Linked DNA regions of Mytilus edulis. The main gene of each other region encodes a partner of the protein of the gene in region 4 in a complex. Links are inferred from orthologs where the notes say so. Each region holds a gene or a part of one and is shown on either strand. Other genes may lie near its edges. The genes, in order: transcription initiation factor IIA subunit 1-like; ruvB-like 2; general transcription factor IIF subunit 1-like; DNA-directed RNA polymerases I, II, and III subunit RPABC1.

Region 1 (7,836 bases), on a different chromosome or scaffold from region 4:
ATACAATGTATCCTCATATCTCACAGATGGACGACTTCAAAAATGCATTGTGACTGATTACTTCAATTTTGTAGTTGTCAACTACCCATTCCTCAGCAGTTATATACCTTCTTCTCCATCGGATGACAATTTTCATATCTTAGTTTAAACGTTACGCTTTTTAATTTTCACACAATTCAGACTAAGCTGAGCTCTTTACAAAAAAAAAAAAACTCGGCTCCAACAGAGTTACGAGAATGAACGATTAAAACCAAAACTAAATTAATTTTACACTCACTATCAATAATTGGTTGACAGATACAATGTGTCGGAGTCTTAACTCAACAGTGACATGTTTTCGCGGTCTTTGTTGTCTTATATCTTGTCAGCGGCAGTAGAGTCCTCTTAACTTCTGAAATTCAGTACCAAGTATGTCATTTTGACTTAATGAATTCGCATGGCGGTGACGAATAAAAGGCAGGAAACGCTGGCCTGTCGGCACACTAGACACGCTCCTCAAGTTTGGAGGTTATTCAATTTACCCCCCCCCCCCCCCCCCCCACCCCCCCCCCCCCCGCCTTTGTTTGTTACATTAATTTGTCTCTTTTAAAGGATTTACATTATTTGAAAAGCAAAATAAATTACTATAATCAATTTTCAATTTTTGTGATGATGTTTTAAGAAAAATGGTATAATGGTAAATAAGATAATAATTCAACATTCATAAGTCGAAATGAAGCGGATTTAAGACGAATTAAGGTAGTATCATACAACGAGAAATCAATATTTATATGTCTTATTACTGAAATTGTCCAGTTTCTTAAATACAAAAAAAAAATATCGAATTTCAGTATTATTTGTATAGTTTAAATCATGATTTTAAACCAATTATACATTTTGCTAGATATAGGCCTATTGTCAACTACTTTTTTCAATTAAATAAAATTTTCAATTTAAAAAAAACAAACTAAATTTGAAACTTTTCTATTGATGCATTAAGAAATGATTACGAAAGCAGGGTTTCAATTCCCTGGGGGCAAAGCTGATCTAGCTAAAGTACATTTCTTTGGGTGTTATTTTTTGGTCCTTTAATTTTTGGACATATCTGATCTTTTATATCCTTCAGACCGTAGTCAGAGACATATATACACTGTGTATATGTTACAGTGAATTTGTATAATCAGTGATTATGTAGAATCCCTGAAATTTTCCTGAAATTTTCAGGGATTATGTAGAATCACTGCCTAGTTTAGGGATTATATATAATAACTAAAATTTTCAGGGATTATGAATAATCACTAGAAAAAACGTCAGGGATTCTACATAATAACTGAAATGAAGAAATTAATAGTTTTATTTATAAAGAAAATGAATGAAATTGAAATTATTTATTCTATAAAATCACATAAAAACATCATTATAAAGTAACATAAATTGTAAAATGTTAAGCACAATATATCAAAATGATAACCCAATTTTTAGCTCACCTGGCCCGAAGGGCCAAGTGAGCTTTTCTCATCACTTGGCGTCCGTCGTCCGTCGTCGTCGTCCGTCGTCGTCGTCGTCCGTCGTTAACTTTTACAAAAATCTTCTCCTCTGAAACTACTGGACCAAATTAAACCAAACTTGGCCACAATCATCATTGGGGTATCTAGTTTAAAAATTGTGTCCGGTGACCCGCCCAACCAACCAAGATGGCCGCCATGGCTAAAAATAGAACATAGGGGTAAAATGCAGTTTTTGGCTTATAACTCAAAAACCAAAGCATTTAGGGCAAATCTGACATGGGGTAAAATTGTTTATCAGGTCAAGATCTATTTGCCCTGAAATTTTGAGATGAATCGGACAACCCGTTGATAGGTTGCTGCCCCTGAATTGGTAATTTTGAGAAAATTTTGCTGTTTTTGGTTATTATCTTGAATATTATTATAGATAGAGATAAACTGTGAACAACAAAAATGTTCAACAAAGTAAGATCTACAAATAAGTCAACATGACCAAAATGGTCTGTTGACCCCTTTAGAAGTTATTGCCCTTTATAGTCAATTTTTAACCATTTTTCGTAAATCTTAATTATCTTTTACAAAAATCTTCTCCTCTGAAACTACTGGACCAAATTAAACCAAACTTAGCCACAATCATCATTGGGGTATCTAGTTTAAAAATTGTGCCCGGTGATCCGGCCAACCAACCAAGATGGCCGCCATGGCTAAAAATAGAACATAGTGGTAAAATGCAGTTTTTGGCTTATCACTCAAAAACCGAAGCATTTAGGGCAAATCTGACATGGGGTAAAATTGTTTATCAGGTCAAGATCTATCTGCCCTGAAATTTTGAGATGAATCGGACAACTCGTTGATAGGTTGCTGCCCCTGAATTGGTAATTTTAAGGAAATTTTGCTGTTTTTGATTATTATCTTGAATATTATTATAGATAGAGATAAACTGTAAACAGCAAAAATGTTCAGCTAAGTAAGATCTACAAATAAGTCAACATGACCAAAATGGTCTGTTGACCCCTTTAGGAGTTATTGCCCTTTATAGTCAATTTTTAACCATTTTTCGTAAATCTTAGTTATCTTTTACAAAAATCTTCTTCTCTGAAACTACTGGACCAAATTAAACCAAACTTGGCCACAATCATCATTGGGGTATCTAGTTTAAAAATTGTGTCCGGTGACCCGGCCAACCAATCAAGATGGCCGCCATGGCTAAAAATAGAACATAGGGGTAAAATGCAGTTTTTGGCTTATCACTCAAAAACCAAAGCATTTAGAGCAAATCTGACATGTGGTAGAATTGCTTATCAGGTCAAGATCTATCTGCAACAACAAAAGAAAGAGAGTTTTTAACGACCTCAGCTGGCTATACAACCCTTGCACAATCAACTGAATTTTGCAGAAATCATTAATAGGATAGATTGCCCTTATATGATAATTTTTTATTACCTTTTTGGTTTTTTTGGCAAAGTGGGGGGGGGGGGGGGGGGGGGGGGGGTGTTGCGCAACAACAAAACTACTTCACAACTTTCTCATTACTTTGCATTTCTTGTTAGATAAATTTTACAAAAATTCTCCCCTGAAACAACTGTTGAATTTAAACAAACTTGGTTTAAATCACCACTAGGATATCCAGGGACCACTGTGTATGATGACCCTGCCTGCCCACATGGCTGAAATTAAACATAGGTTTCAAATGCACTTTTTAGTATTATATCTCTGAAACTAAACGACAGTACAACAGTTGCATTTATCATGCAACAATTGTAAATAAAAATATCAGGTGAGCGACACAGGGTCCTTGGACCCTCTAGTTTTTAAATGTTAGGCACACTACATGAAAATGTGAAAAACAATATATAAAAATAATATGCTTCACATCTGTTATTACCACAATATCCACATTTTAGGAAACCTTTTCCTGCACATATCGAATCAGATTTTAACGACACGCCTAAGTGAAATTAAGTGTTTAGTAAAACATCTGAAGGTTACCACAAGAAAAGATAGGAATTTGCAACCTTGAACCGGTACGAGCAAGAAAGATACCATGTTTTGTAGTCAGGTGCTACCTTTTTCAGATTTTTTTTAAAACAATTGTCATTATGTTTTTCGGGTTTCCTTTTCCTTTTTTACCATGTGGAATTGCTATGAGAATATTACACCAAATGCAAGCTTCCTCTAAAATTTGTTTCTATGTGTCAATCCTAAGTTCTGCCTGTTTTCCCTACATTTAGATGCCTAAGTTCTCACAGTTTGAATGTCTTGTTCATTTAAACAAAAACAAAAACACACAAAACAGATGTTCCATAACCTTCTTCACCATTTGCTTTACATGTATCACAAATAACATGCTTTGTGGTTTAAAAATAGAGCATAAATAAGGCCGTTAGTTTTCTCGTTTGGATTGTTTTACATTGTCATTTCGGGGCCTTTTATAGCTGACTATGCGGTATATGGGCTTTGCTCATTGTTGAATCCGTACGGTGACCTATAGATGTTAATTTCTGTGTCATGTTGGTCTCTTGTTGACAGTTGTCTCATTGGCAATAACACCACATCTTCTTTTTTTTACCTGAATATTCATTTGACGCTGGCTTTTAATAAACAAACAATACATGTAAAGCTATTGCTATAAAGGGAATGTTGATATTATTAATTTTGAAGTCTTCAACTTTATCTCGAAACCCTGTCACGGTTGATTATATCTTTTAGATCAATCTCTGTGTTTAAAAGCAAAATTATTTCATCTGGCAAGGTCTATATTATTTTTTTTTATCAAACAAAGGATAATTAAATTATTCATAATCCCTGAAATCATATTAGGGAATTTGTAGAATAATTATTAAAAAGTTCAGTGATTATGTAAAATCACTGGTCATTTTCAGGGATTATATATATAATTACTAATGGTTTTAGTGATTCTACATATTCCCTGAAAAATCAGGGATTCTACATAATCCCTGATTATACAAAATCACTGTAACATATATATGTCTCTGTCGTAGCAAGGATTTGTATAGTCTCACTATACAAATCCTTGGCCGTAGTATACAATCCAAACAATCGGGTTGCTTCTGAATTTAAACACAGATAAACAAACAGGCATTTCAAATAGGCATATGTAACACTTATAAAAAAATATATAAAAATGCTAGACGACATATCGATTTCCAATGGGACAGTAATTCTGTGCATTTCGATATTTTAATTTAACATATGCAATCTTTTCTTGTAATCATTTCGTATTTCCCGCGTCAAGTTATCCTCGAAATATATCGCGAGACAATCAATCAGCTGGCAGGTGCTTGTGACGTCAACAGTAGCAGCGCCCTCTAGACATACGGGATTTAATACCAGCTATATAAGCGCAGCAGTGGCAGTCGACTTCGGCTTTCTTACAGCCCACAAGTCAGAGGAATATATGACTCGTTTTCCTCGGACATAAACAAACCATTAAATAATGGCTACACCTAACCAGGTGGTGAGTTTCAAAAGAAAATGATTGTTATGTTAAAATATTTGTTGTCTAAAATGTCAATACCGTTCATAAAAAAAATCATATATCGAAAACAATGGAATCCATCTTGATTTGTAAACTGATATAATCAACCACCGAACAACAGGTGGACCTGAATGAAAATTTGAATGTACTTGTGGAAAACCATAAAGCATCCAACATTTTAATTGCTATATCAGAAATACCACTAAAATGCTCATTACAAGTTGTATTTCATGTATTGTACACAATATTTTGCATCTTTTAAACCCCCCTTTTTCATGTTAGTTTAAGGTTCATGTGGACCCTATGGCTAAAATGGCCGTATTTTCACCTCAAAATTTACTCTGAGTACAGGCAAACCTGTGCATCTGGAAAAGTTTTAAGGCATAGCATGCCCTAGATAAATAGAATTCAAATGTATTGTATGATTTAGAAAATTCATAACTGAACTGGATTTTGCCGTACACTTTTTTTCGTCCCTGCAGAAGATGATAAAATTAACAAACAGTTGGGTTTACCTTGATATGGTCCACTCAGGTACACAGTTTAAATAACCAATTATTGTCAGGTATCTATTGTCCATCTCATGTCCATGTCTAGCAATACAGCTCACTTCAATTATTACCTGTGGGGAAGTTCTCAAACCTGTTTCCCAACTTAGTTTATTTTGGCACCTTCTGGAGGAATGAAAAAAAGTGCACGGCAAAATCCTGGTAAGTTTTTATTTTTCTAAAACATAAAACATATTTGAAATTTATTTATCTAGGGCATGCTATGCCTGAAATTTTTTACAGATGCGCAGGTTTGTCTGTACTCAGAGTAAATATTGAGGTGAAAATACGGCCATTTTAGCCATAGGGTCCACATGAACCTTAATAGAAGTCTTATACATGGATATAAATGAATATTAAAACAAATGTATAAATGTCATAAATGCGTTTGTCAAACTTTGTATTTGCCCTTATATTTTGTGAGCTTGATCTGCTTTATTTTGTCATTACGTAAAAAATGCTTTTTTTTACAATATGATATCTGAGGGTAGTAATGAGGGGGGATAGGAGGGATCCTGATCCCTAAATCCCGGGCTTAAAAACATGAAATCCCGAAATCAGGGGCTTAAAAACATGAAATTCTGAGGTCCTGAAATTCAAAAAAAAGAATTCCAGATCCCGAAAGGTTCAATCCTGAAATCCCGAGCTTAAAAACACCCCATTCCGGAGTCCCGATAATGGTCCTATCCCCCCTCAGTAATGCCCTTTATCATCGGTTAAAATTCTACCTTGATTTGTTAAAAAATATCCTTATCATGACTTGCAGAGTATCATCATTTTTCGGAAAAAATTAACGCGATTCATTAAACAATTTTAAATATCGTCTGAAAGAATAACATTTAATGGTCATGCATAAAAAATTACCTTTAACGTTATATGACAAGAATTTTCCCGTTATTCTAATATCATATGGCAAGAATTTTAGCTGTTACTCGTCCATTACAAGCCTCATATCTGGGTGTTCATTTCCTATTCTGGTAATACTTTAGTTTCTTTAAAAATGTCCTGTATCAATATTTCTTCGAGTAAACAGGTATTTGATAAAAATGAATAAGTAGATATATTATGCTGCCCTGTGAATTCTGTATGAGGCAGCTGCACTTGACTCTTATGATAAGAGTCTTATCTTAGTTGACTATTATTGTCAGTTTTCCTACTAAAGGTTGGGGGTTCTCTCTGGGCGCTTCTGCTTCCTCCACCAATAAAAACTGACAGGAACAAAAAAGCATAGTAGTGTTAAAGGTGGAGCTAAACACAAATCAATAAATCTCTATAAACTAAGAGAATGATATTTACATCATACATACAGGGTGTTTATACTTAAATCGTAAAAATCATTTTATATGATTGTCATGTAAGTTGTAACTGTAGATGCTTTGTTAAAGAAAAGCAGAAATTGTGCTATAAATTTGTACTAGAAACAATACCAATCAAAACAATGTTGAAAAGGTTGAAATGATAGATGTTAAATGTTTTCTGTTTTCTAATTGTAGCCGAGATTATACAAGTCAGTTGTTGATGATGTGATAGCTAACGTAAGAGAAGCCTTTCTAGATGAAGGAGTTGATGAGCAAGTCCTACAAGAACTTAAACAGGTGACATTATTAGTCATAATAGAACTTAATTATCATTAAAATTTTTTTATGAAATTAAAACTTTTAAGAGTTGTCTAAACTCACAGTAGAAGTAGAGGTTTTCATGTAATAATTTTGAGTTAAAGTTGAATGTATTATACAATAACTTAATTTAGAATATAACGCGTCTTCTGATTGGCTGACGTTATTTTGTTATCATAGACATAATTTAGTCATGTGACCGTGACGTCATCAACGTTTTTTCATGGTTTTCTACGGTTTAAAATGGAATTTAAAATTAAATTATAAGAAATGACTAATATTTTTTCTGTCTATTCGAAATAAAATAAAAAATGTGGTGCACACTGTAAAAATAACCTGCTACGCGCGTTATTCAGTGTGCACCAAATTTTTTATGTTATTTCTTCATAGACAGAAAAAATATTACAGTCATTCCTTAATTGTGTAAAACCTAAGAAATTTTGTTAGTTCCAGTATATCAAGGAAAATGATTTAATAATTTGTAACTTTTCTTGGTGTCATACATTTACATGTTAGTTCACTATGTTCACCAATTGAAAACAATGATCCATTAACAGGAACCAGTTTTATTTGGGTTGTTTTAACATTTTTTAAAAACATGTGTTGGCTTACACTTAAAATTATATCCCACTTTTGATTATTATTTATATATGTGTATAACACCAAATAACTGTTTTCCAAAGGACAAC
Region 2 (7,970 bases), on a different chromosome or scaffold from region 4:
TAATTTCATCAGTCTTGTATTATGCACAGCTTTATTTTGCTGCTAAATGAGTATTTCCAAAACAATAGTTAAGAATTTTTGCCAGTTTATGTTCAAAGTAAATAGTGTGACCCGAGGCAGGACAGGTTGAAAATGTTTGCAATTTTCTGTTGAGTATTCCTTGGTCATCAAGACTGCCTTTTTCAATGTGTGATAAAAGTAAACAAAAAAGTATGAAAATACTTGTGTATAAATTGTAATAAGTAAACATTGATAGAGGTGTACTTCAATTTTATTACAGTCTTTCAGAGAGATTTTATTTCATATTTGCTTATAGTTTGGTGCTGTTTTTGAAATAGAATGTTCATAATTTTATTTATCTGAATGAATTAAAGGTTAAATCTGAGTGATTGACAGGAGCGAATGTTGTCTAAAGCTTGATACTGAACTAGAAAAAATATTGTATTATATGCTTTCGTACCTTTTTGTGAATATTAAATCCTAAGCTCCTAATTTGATAATACCACACTGTGGAGAGGTTAAAAAACCCTATATATGTCTACAAGAGAGAGACCAGATTTATTAAATAAAGGCAGAATTTTGTAATCTCCTTTAATTGTTTCAATGTTTCATCAAATTTCCTTGCTTAATCACTTCTAAAAATCTAAAAATTAAACAATTGATTAAATAATTTTTTTTAGAAGTTATGAGTTATCTCCCATTTTGACATTCAAAAGTCCAAATATATAGAAATCAGATTGATATAGAATTTATACAAATAAATATTTTTGCAAATTTGAAATTGAATTGTTAGTGAGTCATTTCATTATTAGTCCAAACAGTTTATTTATTTTGCAATTGTCAAGTTTGACTATAAATGTACTATATATAAATTTTGTATGCATTAGATTTTGCACTAAAAGTGAAACAAATTTATTTTATTAGATGTAAAATGAGTGTTGTATACATTCTAAACAGTTTGATGCCTCATTTGCTAGATTGTATATGTTCATTATGCTAAAACTTTAATGTCTTGGTGTAATGTTTTATGGTTAAATGTGCTGTTCACATTTAAAATTGAGCCATTTAGATATGTCAATTTAATACTGTTGGCTGTTTGTATATAGACTTTGCCTAAATTGATATAGATCTTTGTTCTTTGATCAGCACTGGGTTTTTTTTTTACTTTACATATCAGAAGTCATAATTTGCTTGAAATTTTGGCTTGAAACTACAAGCAAATTTTTCTGTTTTTAAAATTGATAAAAAATTCACTTGATTTAGGCTCAGTGTGTGCTTTCTACCTGAAATCTCAGGAAAGATACCTACCAGGTCAATCATTCATCATTATATAAACTTGTAATTTGGCTTGATTCAAAACACTTGGCTATTTCATGTTGAATACTGTAAAAGTTTTGTTTTTTTTGTGTTGTATTTGATCTTTGTTGTTTTGTGGCTACAAATACATTAACCATTGTACCTATATAATATATATCATTAAAAATAAATTAGTGTTGTAATGTTTAAAAACCATGAAATAATAAACCTGTGAACATGCTGAGAGAATTCAAAACCAAAAAAATTACCATGTTTTAAAGTTTTTTGATTTGAATCTTGGGTATATGAGTATTTGGAGTATGAGGTTTTTAAACAAAAAAATTTATGTCTGTTAATTGATATGCCTATGTATGGATGATTCAAAGTTGTAAATGAATGATTCAAATTTATAATTGAATTCATGATTCAAGTTTGTAAATAAATGATTCAAATTCGTAAATGAATGATTCAAATTTAAAAAATGAAATTCTTGATATATTTTATATTTATAATTTATTATTTTGTTATTTATATTTATTATTATATTATTTTGTATGTACACAATAATGGATACATCATGCAGTGCTTTTGATTCATTTTAGCACATTAAAGAAATTCTGCAAAACTTTGTTTTTTTATATGAAAAAGGAATTTCTTTGCCTTTTTAGCATTTTAAGTTTAATTTGAGGAAATTACTTATTATAAGTATTTGGTAAACAGGAAGTTGATGAGTGAGGGATGTAAAGAGCATTACACATAAAAGGTTGATTCCATATTTCTGAAAGCCTTGACTGTCACAAAAAATGTATTCATGTTCATAATATGTCTAAATACATTTGTACAAGTATTTGGTAAACAGGAAGTTGATGAGTGAGGGATGTAAAGAGCATTACACATAAAAGGTTGATTCCATATTTCTGAAAGCCTTGACTGTCACAAAAAATGTATTCATGTTCATAATATGTCTAAATACAAGTAATCAGTAAATTGTGGTATATGAGTGATGAATCTGAAAGTGCATCACACAGTCAAGCATGCCGATGTGGAGCTTGATATCAAATTTCAGAAGCTCAAAATTTAAGTTCCTGAGAAAAATTTGATCAAAATGTTATTAAACTATGGACATATGTTAACCAGTACACCCATTTCTTTTGTAGCAGGTGTAAAATATAAATTATATAGTCACCCTAAAAAGAGTACAAGTATGAATAGATGAATATATTTTAATAAATCAGTTATTGTTTTTGAAAAACCTATCCTTTCTCAATTTTAACAAAAACAAAAACAAAGCAAGAATTTCTGAATTTACATTATATCAGAAACATTTGTGGAAAACATACATCAATGAGACAGCAACCCAACAGTGTATGTTAATCAATATTTTAAATTGATGCCAAAAGTCCTTCATACAGTCATCATTCTCTACATGAAAGAAAACCATAACAAAAACTTGATAACACCGCTACATTGACAACTACACTTAAGTAAACTGCATATTTTAATGACAATAAATGTTGTTATCAATGTAGCAGTATTTTATTTTTTGCTCACCTGGCCAAAAGGGCCAAGTGGGCTTTTCACTTGGCATCCGTCATCGTCTGTCATTAACTTTTTTCACAAATCTTCTCTGAAACTACAGGACCAAAGGAGTAGGGGCAAAAATTACTGCAAATTTTAAAAATTTCATACATATTCTTAAATAACTTAAAACTTTACTAAGGTTCAAGTTATCCAGAAAAACAAAACAAGTTTGACATTGAATGAGTTACCATGGCAACAAATTATGACATAATTTGCAAATTTTGTAAAATTTTCATGGTTTTCCTTGTTTTTCATCAAATTTTAAGTATATGTTAGATTTAAAAAGTATGTGCACACCCAAGAAACAACTTTATATTTGGGGAGATTATATCAACAGTTATAATAATGCTTCTGTTAAATTATTTTGTTGTTTCTTGGCTGAGCACGCTGTTTCCACAACAGAAATAATGATAGAAAACTGCATAAATTCTGGATTTTTCACCATTATTGTGGAAACAGTACATATTTTGACGTAATTGTGATGTCATCAGTTAAAAATCTTTGTTTTTCATTTATATTTTTTTATCCTATGCATTTCTAAACATTATGTGCCAATTTGAAAAAGATATCAAACATTTTATTTTCTTGGGCTAAAACCAGGCATTAATGCCCCTACTCCTTTAAGTAAAACTTGGCCACAATAATCATTGGGGTATCTATTTTAAAAAGAGTTCTGATGACCCAGCCAACTAACCAAGATGGCCACCATGGCTAAAAATAGAACATAGGGGTAAAATGTAGATTTTGGCTTATATCTCTGAAACCAAAGCATTTAGATCAAATCTGAAATGGGGTTTATCAGGTCAACATTTGTCTACCCTCAAATTTTCAGACAAATCTGAAACTTAACGGTTGCATTATTTCATGCATCAATTGTAAATAAAAATATCAGGTGAACGACATGATATCATATGATATCCATTTAAAGGAACTATAAACACAAAACATAGGAGGCATTAGTTCAGCAGCTCTTTATTTCTTTATTTATTAAAAAGTAAAGAATAACAGAGTATTCAGGTCATAGCCATGATGCAGAATAAAGATTCAGAAGCTAAGTATTAATTACTCCTTAAAATTAATGTTGGACATTATAAAAAAAAACCTCAGTAAAGTTTTGAATTTATCATTTTAATTGTGTATCTATTATGTCTGATCAGAGATGAGAGGTTATGTCATACCTGTAGGAATTGGTAAAAACTGATGACCAAACATACATATCTGTTAACTAAAGATTTGTTAATGAATTTAGCTCCTAATCATAACCAAATTGCACTAGTTCTGTCTTTTGCAGGATTTTGAGATTTCATCACAATACAAACCAAAAGCCTTCCTATTCCAAAAATTTCCCAGTTCATTGAGGCATAAATATATATATATTAAAATCACTTGAAAGGTCAACAACAACAATTCAAGATAACAGGAAAATATTAAGAAAAAAAATAGGAAGTGTAAGAAATGCATGTCATTTCTTGTATATTTGTATTAATTTTGCCCCACTGATAAACATGAAAAAAATAATTCAGATTTAAAGAAAACTAAAAAATACTGATATATTAAAAAGAAAGGGGGGGGTGCTTAAAAAAATGTTCTATTCCCAAGTACCTTAGCAAAAACTTAAAACAGTGGGCTGACCTTTTCAGTCATTAGATCTGTTTTTAACACTTATTTGGCTGAACAATTACTGAGAATATAGTTTCTATTTTATTTATCATATTTTTTCTCAGTTTTTTTTAAAGTTAGCAAAAATTGCAACAATATAAGACAGAATTAAGCCTAGTCAATTTCTTGAAATGGTAATAAACTTTACTTTGCATCCTAAAAACCTTGTCATGAATTTGAACAACAACATGCAGGAACCTTTTTTTTTTCTTCAAGTCAATAAAATTTATTAATTTTAATTTTCAAAACAATTTTTAATTTTAAAAGAGAATCAATCATATTATATTTCAAACCACATGCACATGTTTCTGTAAAAATCGCTTAATACCTTTTTATAACAGATATAAAGTTAACAATAATTAGAGACATGTGCCTGTGGGAAACCATAGAGATTGTGACACTGTTTTGTGTTTCACGTTTTTACATGTCCGTTTCCAGAATATTCTTGTCGACTCAGAAGATTATTGTACTTAGATAGAGGGCGCTACAAACACCGGCAATGGCAGTCGTAAGTCGCATTTTCTTCTTTTTCGTGATAAATCAACTCCTTTAGACTGTAATCAAAACATGATTATTCAAAGAAAGCATTATGAAACTTCAAAGCTAGACTCCTAGACATATATTGACCTCTAAAGTTTATTTGGGTTCCCAATCTGTGAGGTGACGGCCCCCACGTGTTTGTTGTCAACAAAAACAAAAAGCGAAAAGTGAAAGAAAACAAATATAATTTGCACAAGTAGTTACCTGTTACTTGATGAGAGGCAATTTCGAAGATAACTTAAAACAAATGTCTTATAGGATATCTGTCATCCAAAATTGCGAACTAAATTTCAGATGAACTTTCCAACAAAATATAAAAAAATAAAAATTTTCAGAAATTTAAAAATGCATCAATTCCATTAGCTGCGGAACCGTAGCTCTTAGGTCCTTATACTATTTTTTGACTATTTGCAGACCATAGAGCTTATGATTATAAACAATACATTTTTGGGAAATAAGTGCGACCTGAACCTGGGTCGCAATTCCGAACATTTTGAAATAGGAAAAATCCGTAGCTCTATGGTCCACAAATAGTCAAAAAATAGCATAAGGACCGCAGCTGCAATTCCATCATTAGTAAAACTGTCTAATATTAATTATAGTACAAAAACAGTTCTGACGGTACACCTACACAAATAGTGTTAATGATTTAGTCTGAATATGTACCAGCATGAACAATACTCATAATCATGATAATCGCTATACATGTATATAGGTATCAAGTCCATTTGTCCTGATTACATGTTCGCCTTGAATTTGTTCTGCATGTTTTGATTAAAAAAATGTTATTTCACGGTTATTAAAGTTTAATAGGTTTACTCAGATAATTATTTGGTATAAATACTCAAAATTCATGAAAATACATGGAAAGATTTTAAAGTCAGTCTGCACCAAAAACTTTTTCAACTACTAGTCCGAAGACCAATATTCTGACATTTTTCTTATTGGACCAAACAAAGTTTTGCAAAAACTTACTAGTCCGAACCAAATTTTACTAGTCTGGGGCATCGGACTAGTGGCTAACCGTGCAGACTGTTAAAGTTACTGGCTTGTTTTAGAGCAATTTATTGTTTATGGTAATATTAATTCTCATTGATTGTTGTAATAATTACAATACTCATAAAAGTCTTTAATGGAAAAATAATAAAACAACATTTTGTTTTGATAAACTACAGTCAGCATGGAATGATTAAAAAAAACCAATCGTTTACGAATTGTAAAACATGAATAGGATTCATAAGTTCATTGATTTATTACGACTGATGACTAGACTAATTAGAATTGCAAAAATAGTTATGAATAAAATAAATCTGACATACTCTGTTCAAATAATGAACATTTTTTAATTACATGAATTAAACAACAATCCCCAAAAAATAAAAAAAATTAGGGCGAATGGACGCTGGGCGAACAGACCCAGATTCACACTATTCCTCATGATAGACCAGTTCTGGGATATGGTAGTTAGTTGAATCTGTCATATGACTTCCATCACCAAGTGATTAAGATGTAGGCATCATAATTTCAAACAAACGAAAAAGACACAGTACCTCTAAATTGAATAAATTCAAAATATAAAAAATGCTTTGTAAAAAAAATCTTAATTAGTTCCAACTTATTTTTAATAAACTTTAAACTTCTACTGATTCTGTAATCTGCATAGGGATAGATTGATAGATATTCAATTTAATAATAATAAATTGCCTCAAAAACCTTAAACATGTTAAAGAATCTCTTTTTTACTTTATTCTGAAAATTTGAATAACACAAGGCAAGATAAGAAGATATATGTGCATAATATGTTTTGTTTGTTACAGCCATCAGCAGAAACCGTTAAAGAAGTGAGAGAGGTGACAAGGATTGAAAGAATAGGTAAACTTTGTTAACACTTTCCTCTATGGAGATTTTAATTTTACATATAGATCATGCAGCAGTCAGCTTAATTTAGTTTTAACCCTTTCAACGCTATACACGGCATATGCCGCGATGACATACATCGTCCGCCACTGCTATTCGCAGCATATGCCGCGATGACAACGGATTTTTCATAAGGACTCTTAAACCATTCGGTTTTCATTCGGGTCCTCTCTAATTTTTCCTTGTATGAATCGAGGATATGCAAGGTCTCATTGATCTTGAAATCCCGGCAATTTTTATTGTAAAATCATGCAGTAGAAGGAAAATTGAAAGAAAATAAAAACAAATATTTTGACAAATGCAAATGGCAGAAATCGGAAACGAAGCTGTAAATATGGAAATATTTCAGCATTTCTATGGCGAAACTGATGACGAGGATTAGTTAAAAGGTTTCTTGTTATCTCAATGTGTTTATTACATTCAATTCATGTGGGAAATATGATTTGATCGATCATTACGAGACGTAGAAAAAGGGGGGAAAACGGAGGTTGACTGAAAATTTTGAGGACAGAGCCACTGATTTGTGCCATGATTACATAATACGTTGTGTATGGTGCAATACGCTACGGAATTGAGCAATTGGTGTCTTCTTTATTATATGGCAGATAAAAAAAAAATAGATGAAGACAAAAAGTAGTTTTTATTCAAAATTCAACACAAATGTAACAAATTACACCTTTTACCTGTTAATTACCTGAAAATGCAGGTAACCTGATAAAAATTTTACTGAAATAACTGCCTAGCATTACAGTTCATACTCTCCTGAGCATTTTTCATGCAATAACTTTTTCTGTATCTCTTACAATAAAAAAGATACAGCAGTCTGAAAAGGAATATACTGTTCTAATGAATGAACACAAAAAAAAATGCAGCAGCAGCAGCCATTTTTCTATTTTTTTGTGTAGCGTTGAAAGGGTTAAAAAGAATTAAAAGAATTTATATTGTTCAATTTTTCATTGAATAAATTATTTTTTTAA
Region 3 (7,293 bases), about 83 Mb from region 4:
GTTTCTAACGGTAAAAATTGTTGGCTTTCCTGATGATCACATGGAGTTTCATTTAACTCTTTATTTGTTTTGGCACTAACTGAATCTGTTTGACTAGCTGACATTGATGTGCTGTCTGAACCTTCATATGATGATAACATGTTTGTACGTTTTCCAGGCATTTGACAAAATGGCATTTCATGTGATATTGCCATTTGAACAGTCACAGATTCATCCGAATTCAATTTCCTCTTCTGTCCTAAAATAACAGAAGAATGTTACAGACAAGAAAATATTGGTGATCAAATTAAAAACAATTGGGAATATGTCATGGGACACAGATGATGTTTCTGCATTTAAAGGGACATAACTCAAGAACAATAAAAGTGCATGAAACAAACTATATAAATTAGTAAGATAACAATATTTTCAGAATCCTAAAGACTATGCAAAATGCAATTTTTGTATAAAAATAAAATTAAGCTATTCATTGAGTATACATTACTTTGTTATGGATACTCGTAAGAAATCACATTGTCTTGGTGTGTGATTTTAATAATAGAATGCCTAAGACTCTGAGAATTTGTTTGTGTTTTGAAATATAGTTTTCATCAATGCCACTGGATGAAAATGGAATAACAAAAATCAGGTTAAAAATAACATAGGTTTAACATACAACCTGTTGTATAGCCTCTCTCTACCCATGGAATTTGCTTTACTTTGGGATCAAGCTTCCTCAACTTCCATACAAATGCTTTGTATTGTCTTTGTAAGTGATCAATTTTCAGATTAAATTCTTTAATTTTTGCTTCAGGGTAACATGGTACTTGTGATTGCTGAAATAATGAAATAATCAATGTATATTTTCCATTTCTTTTAAATTTAAATACATCTGAGTAAAAAATTGGAAAGTCATTTTATTGACTAATTTAACAATTCTTAATTAATCCAAAAAATAATACTCAGAAAAATAACACATCCTAAAGTTTCTCTCTCTCTCTCCTTCATTTAAATTTGTAATTGTTATATCAAAGGAAGATGTAGTTAAAAGGTAATATTTTTATAATGCAGGAATGTGAAACTGAAAGTCGTCAAAACACAGTAATATAAACAAACTATGAAAAAATAAGTTGAAAGCCATTTTTTTAAATGAAAGAAGGAAAATATTTAACTTCATTAAAAACCCATGAAACTTTTCTAAGTTAAGTATGTTATTATAAATCACTTTAGTATGTTATTAAATCAGTTTGTTTTCTTTTTCTCTTTCATCAATATTGATAGTTGTTTTTAACCCTTTCAACGCTATACACGGCATATGCCGCGATGACATACGCCGTTCGCCACTGCTATTCGCGGCATATGCCGCGATGACAACGGATTTTTCATAAGGACTCTTAAACCATTCGGTTTTCATTCGGGTTCTCTCTAATTTTTCCTTGTATGAATCGAGGATATGCAAGGTCTCATTTGCGCTTGAAATCCCGACAATTTTTATTGTAAAATCATGCAGTAGAAGGAAAATTGAAGGAAAATAAAAACAAATATTTTGACAAATGCAAATGGCGGAAATCGGAAACGAAGCTGTAAATATGGAAATATTTCAGCATTTCTATGGCGAAACTGATGACGAGGATTAGTTAAAAGGTTTCTTGTTATCTCAATGTGTTTATTACATTCAATTCGTGTGGGAAATATGATTTGATCGATCATTACGAGACGTAGAAAAAGGGGGGAAAACGGAGGTTGACTGAAAATTTTGAGGACGGAGCCACTGATTTGTGCCATGATTACATAATACGTTGTGTATGGTGCAATACGCTACGGAATCGAGCAATTGGTGTCTTCTTTATTATATGGCAGATAAAAAAACAAAATAGATGAAGACGAAAAGTAGTTTTTATTCAAAATTCAACACAAATGTAACAAATTACACCTTTTACCTGTTAATTACCTGAAAATGCAGATAACCTGATAAAAATTTTACTGAAATAACTGCCTAACATTACAGTTCATACTCTCCTGTGCATTTTTCATGCAATAACTTTTTCTGTATCTCTTATAATAAAAAAGATACAGCAGTCTGAAAAGGAATATACTGTTCTAATGAATGAACACAAAAAAAATGCAGCAGCAGCAGCCATTTTTCTATTTTTTTGTGTAGCGTTGAAAGGGTTAAATTAAGGGAACAGCAAATATTTGCCATCATCTAGAGCACTTCCATCCAAAAGAATTGCTGTATTGCTCCTATAATAATAGAAATAATGCATAAGGACTTGAATTTAAACTGATTTTACTACTGGTTGACATTTACTGTTGATATTTTACCCCTCCATATCACTTTTTGTAAAATATTCAGATAAATATGCTAAATATTTTACAGGGAGGGATACAATTTTGGCATACAGGGTTAACCTGTGGTAATATCAGTATAAATTCAAGAACCTATGAACCACTTCTTTAATATACACATACTACACAAAAATGTACAAGTTCTTGCATGTTAAAATCTATTTACTTACTAACTAAGTGAACAATTTCTTATGTACCGGTATACAGTTTTTTTCATATCAATATCATAATTACACGTAAAATAAATGTTCATGTGGTTATCTCAAGTAAGATGTTGCTTTATTTTATGAAACGTTTTTGTTTGTTTGGCAACTTAGTGTTGAAAGCTAGTTTTTATAGCTACTTTTGTTTCCTTTACAAATTTTCTTTTTTTCCTGGGACTTTAACTAATACATATATTGTATAGACACATATCTATTGTTAAAGACTGGATATATTTTGAACACATTTATTTTGAGTGTTATTGGGGTGCTGCGGCACTGCTGACTCACTGATATAAAATAAAATTTGAAAACTACACATAGAAACAAAATTGAAACTGTGACAAAGTAAAAGAAACTACCTTCAAACAAAAGTCAATATCATCTTTAATACTTGGTATCCAGTATCTGATGTCTTCAGCTGTATTGATTTCATCCTGTTATAATAAGAAGTAGATTTCCTTTATTGATAAATACAGATTCTCTTTTAAAGGAAAAAGAAGCAGGAATAGGTATATAATTCCCTTATTCACCTGGAAACATAATACATCATGTTGAACATACTTAATTAAAATTTCATTTTCATAAATTAAGAACAAGAATCCATCTCCCTAAGGCACAGTTGACCGTAAGTATTCACTCATTCCTGGCTTTCAAATGTTTGTTTGAACATTCCTGATTCATGAACATAAATTCTAAAAATAGCTTCAAAGACACAGAATTTATCAAGTGTTGATTTAATTTGTTAAACACAATGAATATAACAAAAAAAAACCTAACAACATACCAATCTAGGTCTTTTGGGATTTTTCTTCTGCTGTTCTGAAATATAAATTAAATCAAATGAATCAAAGACCCAAATGGCAAGGTGGTGCAGACATTTTAAACATATAATACAGGGCTGCCAAGTCTCACGCATGTTCATGCTTTTTTGGCTGCATTTTCCTTTGAACTATTGTTTTTTCTCTTTGATCTTTTCAATTTTGGTCATTAAATCTCACGCATTTGCTTCATGAAAAGTTGGCAGAACTGTATATATAGTTTCTTTAAACAAAAAGAAGAATATCTAAAATGTGTCACTCAGTAATGAATAACCATGGACTTTCTATACTTAGTACAGAAAGTGCCTGGAATAACCAGAAGAATTTTAATATGTTATATAATCATGATAATAGAAAATTAATAAAAGATAATAACAGTTTAAATTCATCACTTTTACTAGTACTTTCACAGCTTTCACAGATCTGCAAGTAATGTGACTTGTATACATAAGTATAATATAAAACAATTCATTACTTTTACAAGTACTTTCACTGCTTTCACAGATCTTCAGGTGTATATAACTATAAGAAATATAATCAGAGACATATATACACATATATGTCTCTGATATAAATATAGAACAATTTTATATTTTACTATGCCTGGCCCTTTTTATATAACTTGTTAAAAATTGTTATTTGACTGCAACTTAAGTTGATATTAAAGTCAGTACCATCTTTTTGTTGCTTCAACAATAACCTATTTAACCTCCCAAGTTGTTTCTCCTCATTTCTGGCCATTCTTGTGTTATTTTCTCTTTTTGGTCAATGATAATTTTCTTGCTTTAATTGTTTTCGTATTTTAAAAAGTCATTGCAACTGAAGTGTCTTGATAGCTGTTTACTTCTTTTAATAGATAAAAGTGATCCTTTATCAGCCTTTTCTCTTTTCCTTTGAAATAACTCTTCACGAACTGTCCATTTGAGAATAATATAAATCCGAAAACATTACTATAAAAACGGCGTTGAAAATTTTACCGAAAACTTATAATTTTTTTATTTTTTTATTTTACGAGTTAGAAAATAGCCTATATAACTAAAACCACATTTTGATGGCAACGCCAATCAGTCAGCCACAGGTGGTAAGATTAATTTGACACATTATATAAGATGATACAATACAAGTCCTCACATCAGCTATCAAACACTTTATCGAGGATTTGTATAGTATACAAATCCTTGACTTTATCATGAAATTACCAGATTACCACATCCATGACATCGGAAAATATCAGTACAAGTACAAAGGCAAATACAACTTTAGGCTTTATACGACTGAATCTTGGTAAATGTCAAACGAATAATATGAGGCAGGCATTACCTGTAAATGGGGACGAAGTCTATGAATTATTATTTTAATTCAAATATGTTGATAAAAGAAACGGAAATACCGTAATGTTTTCGATTTTGGTTCAGTTGTTAGGGATTTAAGTGTGACGTTATTTAAGTTATGACGTCATATTCAATGTAAACAAAAGAAACGCTTTCATCAGGTAACGTTTTTTTCATATAAAATGATAAAACGATTATTAAAAATGAATAGGGCTCTTCACGGTTAGTTCGGCCATATTGGATAGGGGGCAGATTTTCATAATAGAGGTAAAAATGGTGTGAAAAATACGGGAAAACATCATTAAAACAGAGCTGTTGCTTGGAAACACACATAGGATTTCCCACACTTTCATACCATTTCCACCTCCTTCTAAAAAATCTGCCCCCTATCCAATATGGCCGAACTAACCGTGAAGAGCCCTATTGGTATTTGAGTTCCAATCCTTTATTTTACTTTACTGATAAATATATATTTTAGTCAAAGTCTCATGCATACAAGACTGGAAAAAGGAAATAAATTTCTGCGCAAATGCGGGGATTTAAAAAAGTCTGAAAAAAATTTAACGATTTTGAGTTCATTAGTAAATGTAGTATATACTAAAAAATTCGGGAAATTTTCTCGAATTTTTTTTTTTTTCTTCTTTTTTTTATTGATTTTTCTACCGTAATAGGGGACTTCGTCCTACATGTAATATAAAGCGTTAGATATATATGACCAACACTAGAATATGCTAGCAATGTCTGGGACCCACATCTCCAAAAACACATACAACAATACATCTTATCACTATTTGTCCGCCATTCTCTGGTATAGAAAATCCTATCTTCGAAGGAGTACTTTAATTTGCACAATGACAAATAGAAATGGTTATAAACATAAAAAGACATATGAGGTATGCCTTGTGGGATGAGTGTTGGTTACTGTTAAAGACCCTTACGCTTTTTTGATCATACAAGTTTGTAGTCTGTGTAGAGCAAAGCAAAGCTTCCTCATTATGTATTTTATAGTGTAGCAAGCATCAGTACATTTACACTTGCAACCACAGTCACAGATAAAGCTACTTGGATCCAATATAAAGTTAGTGTCTAGGGTGACGTACTATGGGTACATTTCATGCACACATCAATACTACATATTATGCAGATAAGGTGCACAGATTTCATGCAGAACTGGACATTCCATAAGAAAATAATCTATTGTTTCTGGCCTACCCTAGCACAATAGGCATGTTGGATCTACTGTGTTACTGGACATCGCAATAGTTCCCGTAAAGTTTTGACGTCACAATAGAAAATATCTGACAGATCAATGGAAATGTGTTTGCTGTAATGACGTCAACAGTTCAAGCAGGATTAGCCATAAGATGTATGTCAATGCAACTAGAAATGATCCAAAGGCAAAGGAGAGCAGCCAGATTCATCAGCATGAGTATACTCGAGACCCATATATTAGAGGACCTTATAAAACTACCACAACTACATAAGGGACGATAAACATCATGTTTACTCCCTTTTCACAAAATAATCCACCAATTTATTGCAATCCCAATTCCAGAATGCTTGATGACACCAGCAAGAATGACACCTCTGCTCCATCAAAGAGAATTTGTCAGATTAGGATCATGTTCTGAAAAAAAGAAAGCATAGGTTCTTCGTAAGAACCATCACAAACTGTAATGAACTACCACCTAGCCTATTAGTCAAGACCAAACTCATATCACACAGATCTGTAAATCAGCACACACATGTTTTTATCTGCACTGGCACATGTATATATATGTTAAACACCTGAACATGCTGAACATATGATTTTAAAAGAGCACTTTTTGATGACACAACTTTAATTTTAACTTAATTATGTGTATGATGAGTCAACTGACTGTTTACGTATTACCCATGTAGATGTAGATGTAGACATCAGAATATATAATCTTCTGACTAGTGACTAGTGTTTTTCCCAAAAGAAAAAATGTTCATTCAGCAAGCATTGTATTTTAAAGTTTACTCACACACATATATACAGATTATATGAATCAATTATACTTCTGTAATCTCATGATACTTTTGTTACTTTTATAGGCTGCAGCTTCTGGCAGTGCCACACAAGAACACAGTGTAAGAGTTCTCAAGTAAGTTGTTTATGCTAGAGGAACCAAAAATTTTGTTACTAACTTGGGACAATATAACTCATGGAGTACCAATTTTTATGGATTTTGTTGGGATTGATGAACCACAAAGTTAAGTGCTCAAATAATCTTTTCTCCATCCAAGAAAATTGGTATATTGTAGATTCAAAAATTAATTCAATCCAGTTATATTTCTATCTTAGTATATAAAATGCATTGGACAAAAATCATCTAGTCCATTTGATGCAACAGCATGAACAGGATTGTTAAAGTAACCTGTTCTGATCAAACCAAATATTAAAAATCATATGCATTTTCTGTTCTTTGTCGGGGTTGTTGTTGCCTTGACAAATTCCCTCCATTTCCATTTTCAATCTTGTTGGATTTCACTAGCAAATTGCTTCTTATATATATATCATGTATATATTGGTTAGATTTAGTGACCTCCAGTGAAATATATTGAAATGATCAACCTTAATGTTGTCAT
Region 4 (6,967 bases):
TTTTTCAGTTGGATTTTGCTGTTTAACTGATTGTAGAACTGCATTAAAGTCCTGCGCTGACAGCTGTTGTAACTTCTGTAACACATCATGTGGAATAACTTTTACCAGTTGGTCAATCATATGTTGGTTAAAATTTTCCATCTTGAATGAATGATTGAAACTAGTTCACATTGCATTATATACTAAGGGATGTAAACTTGGATAGGTCAACGTGTATGCCACGTTTACAAGATAATACGTAGGAGGGTAGGGGGGATTAAAAAACATGTCCGTTAATTGTTTTCCCCACCGGATTTTAACGAGGATGTTAAGTACAAGTTAAGAAGATTAAGAGATTAATCCACTTCAGTTAAGAGGATTATAACCAGGATGTTAAGAAGCAGTTAAGAGGATTAGGAGATTAATCCACTTCAGTTAAGAGGATTATAACCCGGATGTTAAGTAGCAGTTAAGAGGATTAAGAGATTAATCTACTTCAGTTAAGAGGATTATAACCAGGATGTTAAGTACCAGTTAAGAGGATTAAGAGATTATAGACCGGATTTAACGTCATAGTTAAGAGGATTAGCTGTGACGTGACTTCCGGTGGCGGGTTGGTGGCGGACTGACCCCATTTCATACTACTTATCTGGTCCTAGGTCCAATGTAGTCCAAATAATTATGCCGTCTAGAAAGGCTATTTTTGATTTTGCTGTTACGCCTGCCTACGTTGAAGGAAGGCGTCGATTTTTTTTTTTTATCAAAAAGTGGTACAAAAACGGCATAATTATTTGGACTAGGTGCAATGGAATTCTATTCAACATGTTATTTACAGCCTCATCCAAGTTGTATAATGTTTCCCTGTACATCAGTAAAATTGTAAGAAATGAAATAAAATGTGGTCACCCAGGAACATAAATATACTGTTCCCAGGGTCACCAAAAATATCTAGAATTAAACTGATTTTTGGGTTTATATGACTGTAGAAAAATAATTTGTGAAGAAAAAAATCATATGGTGGACAGCATTGACTGAAAAGAAAAAAATAACCTAAAACGTGAAATACGTAACTGTATTTATTATTTAACAGTGGCGTAGCTACCGTTGACGCAAAGACGCACTTGCGTGCAAAAGGAAATGGGAAAAAAATCGTAATTAAAAAAATCAGAACAGTCAAAAAAAAGAAAGAGTGCGATTCACTGTAATTATATATAAGCAGGGTTAAAGAACATTATTTAGTCGACCTGTTAGTCAAATGCGTTTTGTTTATATATTTTTTCACTTTTTTGGTCTTTTGGAAAATGTTGTTTGTGCTGTATTTAGACCCTTCTACGACGAAATTTGTTTTACATGCACACGTATAAAAATTGCGGTTTTTATTATCCAACGCAATCATAGGTTTGAACGTAGTTTTCAATTTAGACTTGTATATATATATATTTCCTGTTTGTGTAGTATTGTCAATTTTGATGATCCAATATCTATTAAGTTTACTGGTTGGTAGATTCTTATAGACTCTCTATATAGGTGTTTCAATTTGTCAAAACGGTTTCCGTGTTTTCTATCAGTTCTGTTTTGTTGTGCGTACATCGGTATATACAATTTTAAGCCGACCATCTACTAAACGAACTACGAGATCGTCTTGTCAATTCGGAAGAACGTTTTCTTGCCCAGATGCTTCTTCCAAACAATCTGAAAAGTTTCAATCGGGACCATCAAATTCGCATATTTCGCGCCTATGAGTCAGATCTTCAATGTCCGTTCAGGTCTTTTATTTCCCCGACAAGGTCCGATTTTTGTAACTCAACAATTATTTTTTCGATAAAATTCTATATCATTTCAATGATATATTATACCTTTCCTATTACAAAATTCATATTTATGGAGATTGATTGAAAAGTGTTAATGAACTTGAATAAATCTGACCGCAGATTTTCAAGTCAATTGAGGTTATTTACTTTCCCGTTCAGGTCCGAGTTTTAACACCCTTACCGTGAATATTTTTCGTATTTTTTTTTTAATATTATCATTATATTGAACTTTTAGCTTTACAAAATCTAAAGTTGAAAGAAATTCATTGAATATTAAAAAAGTTAGTGAAGTTAGAATAAGTTCAATCATAGATTTTCAGGTCTTTTCATATCTCCGTTCAGGTATCAAAAATCTGTTTTTTTTTATTTAAAACATTTAATCTTTAAAAAAAACTATGAATATTTAAGTTTAATAAAATTATAACTTGAGGAAATTCCATTGAATAATAAAAAAGTTATTGCATTTTGAATAATTTGAGTCGTACCCTTACGTTTAGTCCAAATAATTATGACGTCTTGAAAGGCTATGATATTTTTTTTCTTTGACGCCTTACGTCAAAAAAATAATATGGGGACGAAGTCCCCAATTACGGTAGAAAAATCAATGAAAAAAAAAAAAAAAAAAAAATCTGGGAAAATTTCCCGAATTTTTCATTGTACTAATGAACTCAAAATCGTTAAGGTGTAACACCACTAATTCAGGCCCGGCCAGAAAGCACATACCAGAAAGTAGTACATATTTAACACAAAATAGTTCCTACGCATGAGTGTAACTTTCAAAATATGTAGAATATTTAGGTATTTTTGGTATCAAATGAAAGCTGAAGGACTGGTGATCATTGTAAAACACTTTTGGACTTTTGATTTTGAATATTAAAAAAAATGCACCAAATTTTAAAAAGAGGGTACATTTTGTCTGTTTGTCAGATCTGAAGTACCTGTTTTGGTACATCCAAAGTTTCGGGAACCAGTTCTTTCTTATATGCAATTAAAGGTATGTTGATTTTTTCAGTACAAGACACCATAAAGGGTTGCTTTGAAATGCAATGATTGCCACTTTATTTGAACTTAAAACAAAAGAGGTGTGCCTACTTGAAACGGAGGAATTTAACATAGAAAGCAATGGGACCATGAATTAGTGGTGTACTTCCTTAACGTTTTTATTCAGATCTAGTTCCTGTTCCGGTTTTCCCGCATTTGCGCAGAAATCTGTCTTGTTTGCATGAGACTTTGATTTTTTTTTATATTTATCAGTCTAGTAAAACATAAGATTGGATCTCAATACAAATTCAATTTTAATAATTGTTTGATATGGAAAAAAAAACGTTACGTTACCTGATGAAAGCGTTTCTTTTGTTTACATCGAATATGACGTCATAACTTAAAGAACGTCACAGCTAATTCCCTAAAAACAGAACCAAAATCGGGAACGTTACGTACGGTATTTCGGTTTCTTTTATCAACATGATTGAATTAAGAAAATAATACATACAGACTTCGTCCCCATTCACAGGTTATGCCTGCCTCATATTATGGGGACGAAGTCCCCAATTACGGTAGAAAAATCAATAAAAAAAAAATTTAAAAAAATCGGGAAAATTTCCCGAATTTTTCATTCTACTAATGAACTCAAAATCGTTAACTTTTTTTTTCAGATCTAGTTCCTGTTCCGGTTTTCCCCGCATTTGCGCAGAAATCTGTCTTGTTTGCATGAGACTTTGAAAAGAAAATTATATGTATCAGTCTAGTAAAATATAAGATTGGAACTCAATACAATTTCATTTTTAATAATTGTTTGATTTGAAAAAAAAAAAACCGTTACCTGATGGAAGCGTTTCTTTTGTTTACATTGAATATGACGTCATAATTTAAACAACGTCACAGCTAAATCCCTAACCACAGAACCGAAATCGGAAACGTTACGGTATTTCCGTTTCCTTTATTAACATGTTTGAGGTAAGAAAATAATACATACAGACTTCGTCCCCATTCACAGGTTATGCCTGCCTCATATTATCAGTCAAAGAAAAAGAATATCATAGCATTTCAAGACGTCACGTTGGACTACCTCACGTTATAAATGCCTTCGGGCCTATTCAGGTCTTTTCAGGTCCACTTTCAGGTCTTTGGTGTAACCCGTAAATTACTTTAACCCGTACTCGGTCTTGTTTTAATCTAGTATGTTACAACTTCCGGTTAATTTTCACATGTTGCAAGTTTATTTCAATTTTAGCTTTCTATAACAACATAAAGAGAAGCTACGAAGATGGATGATGAACAAGAAACATACAAGTTATGGAAAATACGTAAAACAATAATGCAGGTAATGAGAACAACACAATTAGAAATATAAATTAAGTAATAACCATGTTTTGTTCGGTTTGTTTTGTTCATACAAATGTAAAATGAAAACAAGTCTTAGAAGAATCTTATTTTTTTGGTGTTATATTAAGTTCCTTGAAATAAATATAGGCTAGCGCTCGTCACTATAATTATTCAATTATTTCTTGGTGAACCGGGAAAAATACTTCATAAATTAAAGAAATGTCAAAGTACAAGTGATAAATCCAGTTTTAATATTGTCAAAACCTACTATTTTATGTTTACAAAAAAAATTATAATCGCTCGCCTTTACTTTTCAAACTTCGCCTCAAAAATTAGCAAATTAAATATTTTTTTATTAAAATTTTCAAATCGCTCGCTCGCCCCAATTTTTAGAGTCCAAAAATCCATAGAACAAGAAATTAAATTGGTGTGGCCTAAAATCAAATATCATTGAATTTGGATGATAATTTTAAACTGGTTCTTTGTCAGATACTTTGTAACAGGAAAAGGGTATATTCTCCCAACCCAGTCTTACAAATTGGAATCAGCCCTGCACTTTGTATATAACATTTTAAAAGGTACCGTTATGATGATGTTGATGTAACAAGACAGTTTATCACTGGCACAAAACAAATCAACTCCATGTTTAATAGACAGTTCAGCACTGTTGGAGACATTTCAGAACCATGTCAAACATATTTGATAAGTGTTTGAAAAAACATTTCAGAATATTGAAATGAATGCCCTGTTTTGTTACACTATCATTAATCATAATAATCAATATGTTATCAACATGTACATTTTGTAAGACCAGAATACAATATTATGAATGGGTGCCACTTATAAATATTACAAAACAGATCAAATCTGAATTAAAATTGACAATATCTTTCTATATATATGAAAATACAAAAGGATTTAATTTATATGGCATTTCCCTGACCAATACCTCATAATAATTATGAAAGGGGGATTATTGGAATGTCATGGAAGAATAAATGAAATAAACTGTTTAGATAGACCCATGGCACAGTCCAGGCAAGTTTATACAACAGTGTTGGATATGTTCTAACTCTAAGTTTAGTTGTGATATAAAAAAACAACAATAGAGCTTATAGATGTAGTTTTTTATCTACATATTTTTTTCAGTTATGCCATGACCGGGGATATCTTGTAACACAGGATGAATTGGATCAAACATTAGATGAGTTTAAAGGCCAGTTTGGAGACAAGCCAAGGTAAAGAAAAATGTGTTCATAGTTCTCGAATCATCGGATGCCCCACTCGCACTATCATTTTCTGTGTTCAGGTGTGAAATTGGGTTCAATCTTTGATTTGACATTAAACTTAGAAAGATCATTTCATAAGAAACATGTTTACTAAGTTTCACTTTAACCTGCAGCTTGATAGACGGACTCATGGATGTACAGATTAACAGAGACACAGACTGAAAAATATAATGCCCTATGTGGGACATAAAAAAAAACAAACTTGCATTACTGTAAAGACAAACATAAATTTTATGATTTTAAAAAACAAGACAACCTGCAAATGTATTCGATGCATTTATCGGGCAGTTTTAGATAAAAACAAGGAAAACATTTTCATCATAAATAAAATTAGACTTAGTCAGTATATAACTACAATGTAACTTAAAACATGCAATTATGAAAAATAACACAACATATTTACATTTTGAACACTTCACATATTTCTTTCTTTTATCTTTTGAATATGGCGAAATCTTAAATATTCCGAGATTTTGATTATGTATATTATTATATAACAAAAATATATCTGCACATGGTCATTGGGAATATCCCATTTTACCACTTAATGCCAAAGTTTAATGTTCAAATTTTTTTTTTAATTACATGTGCCATACATCAAAGTAATTTTGATTTAGATTCTCTTATTCTTATGGTAGTAGTGGAGTGTGATATGATAAATTTGTGAATTAAATCTTCATAAATAAATCGAGTTGATATTGACTGGTTAAGTGATATCTAATGCTTATTTTTTTGTGCACTTTAATGATATTTTACAGGATTGTAACAATATACTTCAGATAAACTTACACAAACATCTACCTCAAGGGTCTGAAATGGTAATATTTTCCACTCATGACTGATTTAAGTAACAATATGACTGAAAAAATGTAAACAATTGCAGTTAATTTGAAATTTTCTAAGATCTGATATTTAAACTTCTGAGGTTTAGTAACAAGAAATTAGGACAGTTTTGTAAAATGAATGTGTATAATACTTTCTTGTAAATTTCAGTGAGCGTAAACCAGCTAGAAGTGATTTGATTGTTCTTGTGGCACACAATGATGATCCAACAGGTAACAATCTTATTAATAGAATTGATGAAGTAAGAATTTTATATTCATTGAAAGGCTTAGTAGAGATACAGACATCTGCAAAGTAACAATAAAATACGTTGATGTTTAGTTTTCATTTTACTTTGCACATTCAAAAGGTTTCCCTATTTCATAATACCAATTTGTTAAATGTTTTAACAAGTTTTAGCTTTATATATTCATCTCTTTAAATTGGTCTATTTGGAATATTTAAGCTCATTGCTAGTGAAAGGTAGGTAGTATGAAGCAAGTGCAAAGTAACAAAATATTCTTACAATAGTGATGAAAGTTTGCACCCGGTTAAACTCTAATTAATCAATTCCATTTTCACTGTAGATCAGATGTTTGTATTCTTCCCAGAAGAACCAAAAGTTGGTATAAAGACAATTAAGACTTACTGTCAACGTATGCAGGAGGAAAATATTACCAGAGCTATAATTGTTGTACAGATAGGGATGACCCCATCAGCAAAACAGGTATATTTATATCA

Evidence for each region.
Region 1: DNA-directed RNA polymerases I, II, and III subunit RPABC1 (region 4) and transcription initiation factor IIA subunit 1-like share a complex: the UniProt entries of both Homo sapiens proteins name them as parts of the TBP-based Pol II pre-initiation complex. The link is inferred for Mytilus edulis from reciprocal best matches to the Homo sapiens genes POLR2E and GTF2A1.
Region 2: DNA-directed RNA polymerases I, II, and III subunit RPABC1 (region 4) and ruvB-like 2 share a complex: the UniProt entries of both Homo sapiens proteins name them as parts of the PAQosome complex. The link is inferred for Mytilus edulis from reciprocal best matches to the Homo sapiens genes POLR2E and RUVBL2.
Region 3: DNA-directed RNA polymerases I, II, and III subunit RPABC1 (region 4) and general transcription factor IIF subunit 1-like share a complex: the UniProt entries of both Homo sapiens proteins name them as parts of the TBP-based Pol II pre-initiation complex. The link is inferred for Mytilus edulis from reciprocal best matches to the Homo sapiens genes POLR2E and GTF2F1.

What each region holds. Positions count from the first base shown.
Region 1 is NC_092346.1:68,136,509-68,144,344, forward strand, and holds the start of transcription initiation factor IIA subunit 1-like, read left to right. Parts: upstream 1-4,811; 5' UTR 4,812-4,941; coding exon 4,942-4,962; intron 4,963-7,024; coding exon 7,025-7,126; intron 7,127-7,836. UniProt on the Homo sapiens protein: TFIIA is a component of the transcription machinery of RNA polymerase II and plays an important role in transcriptional activation. TFIIA in a complex with TBP mediates transcriptional activity.
Region 2 is NC_092350.1:44,665,927-44,673,896, forward strand, and holds the start of ruvB-like 2, read left to right. Parts: upstream 1-4,949; 5' UTR 4,950-5,035; coding exon 5,036-5,044; intron 5,045-6,893; coding exon 6,894-6,948; intron 6,949-7,970. UniProt on the Homo sapiens protein: Possesses single-stranded DNA-stimulated ATPase and ATP-dependent DNA helicase (5' to 3') activity; hexamerization is thought to be critical for ATP hydrolysis and adjacent subunits in the ring-like structure contribute to the ATPase activity.
Region 3 is NC_092344.1:32,398,417-32,405,709, reverse strand, and holds the start of general transcription factor IIF subunit 1-like, read left to right. Parts: upstream 1-4,279; 5' UTR 4,280-4,400; coding exon 4,401-4,430; intron 4,431-6,759; coding exon 6,760-6,809; intron 6,810-7,293. Other genes in the region: uncharacterized protein, read right to left, coding at 1-238, 659-815, 2,891-2,965, 3,316-3,350, 4,024-4,090. UniProt on the Homo sapiens protein: TFIIF is a general transcription initiation factor that binds to RNA polymerase II and helps to recruit it to the initiation complex in collaboration with TFIIB. It promotes transcription elongation.
Region 4 is NC_092344.1:115,151,515-115,158,481, reverse strand, and holds the start of DNA-directed RNA polymerases I, II, and III subunit RPABC1, read left to right. Parts: upstream 1-3,953; 5' UTR 3,954-4,056; coding exon 4,057-4,113; intron 4,114-5,264; coding exon 5,265-5,353; intron 5,354-6,397; coding exon 6,398-6,459; intron 6,460-6,813; coding exon 6,814-6,953; intron 6,954-6,967. Other genes in the region: uncharacterized protein, read right to left, coding at 1-141. UniProt on the Homo sapiens protein: DNA-dependent RNA polymerase catalyzes the transcription of DNA into RNA using the four ribonucleoside triphosphates as substrates.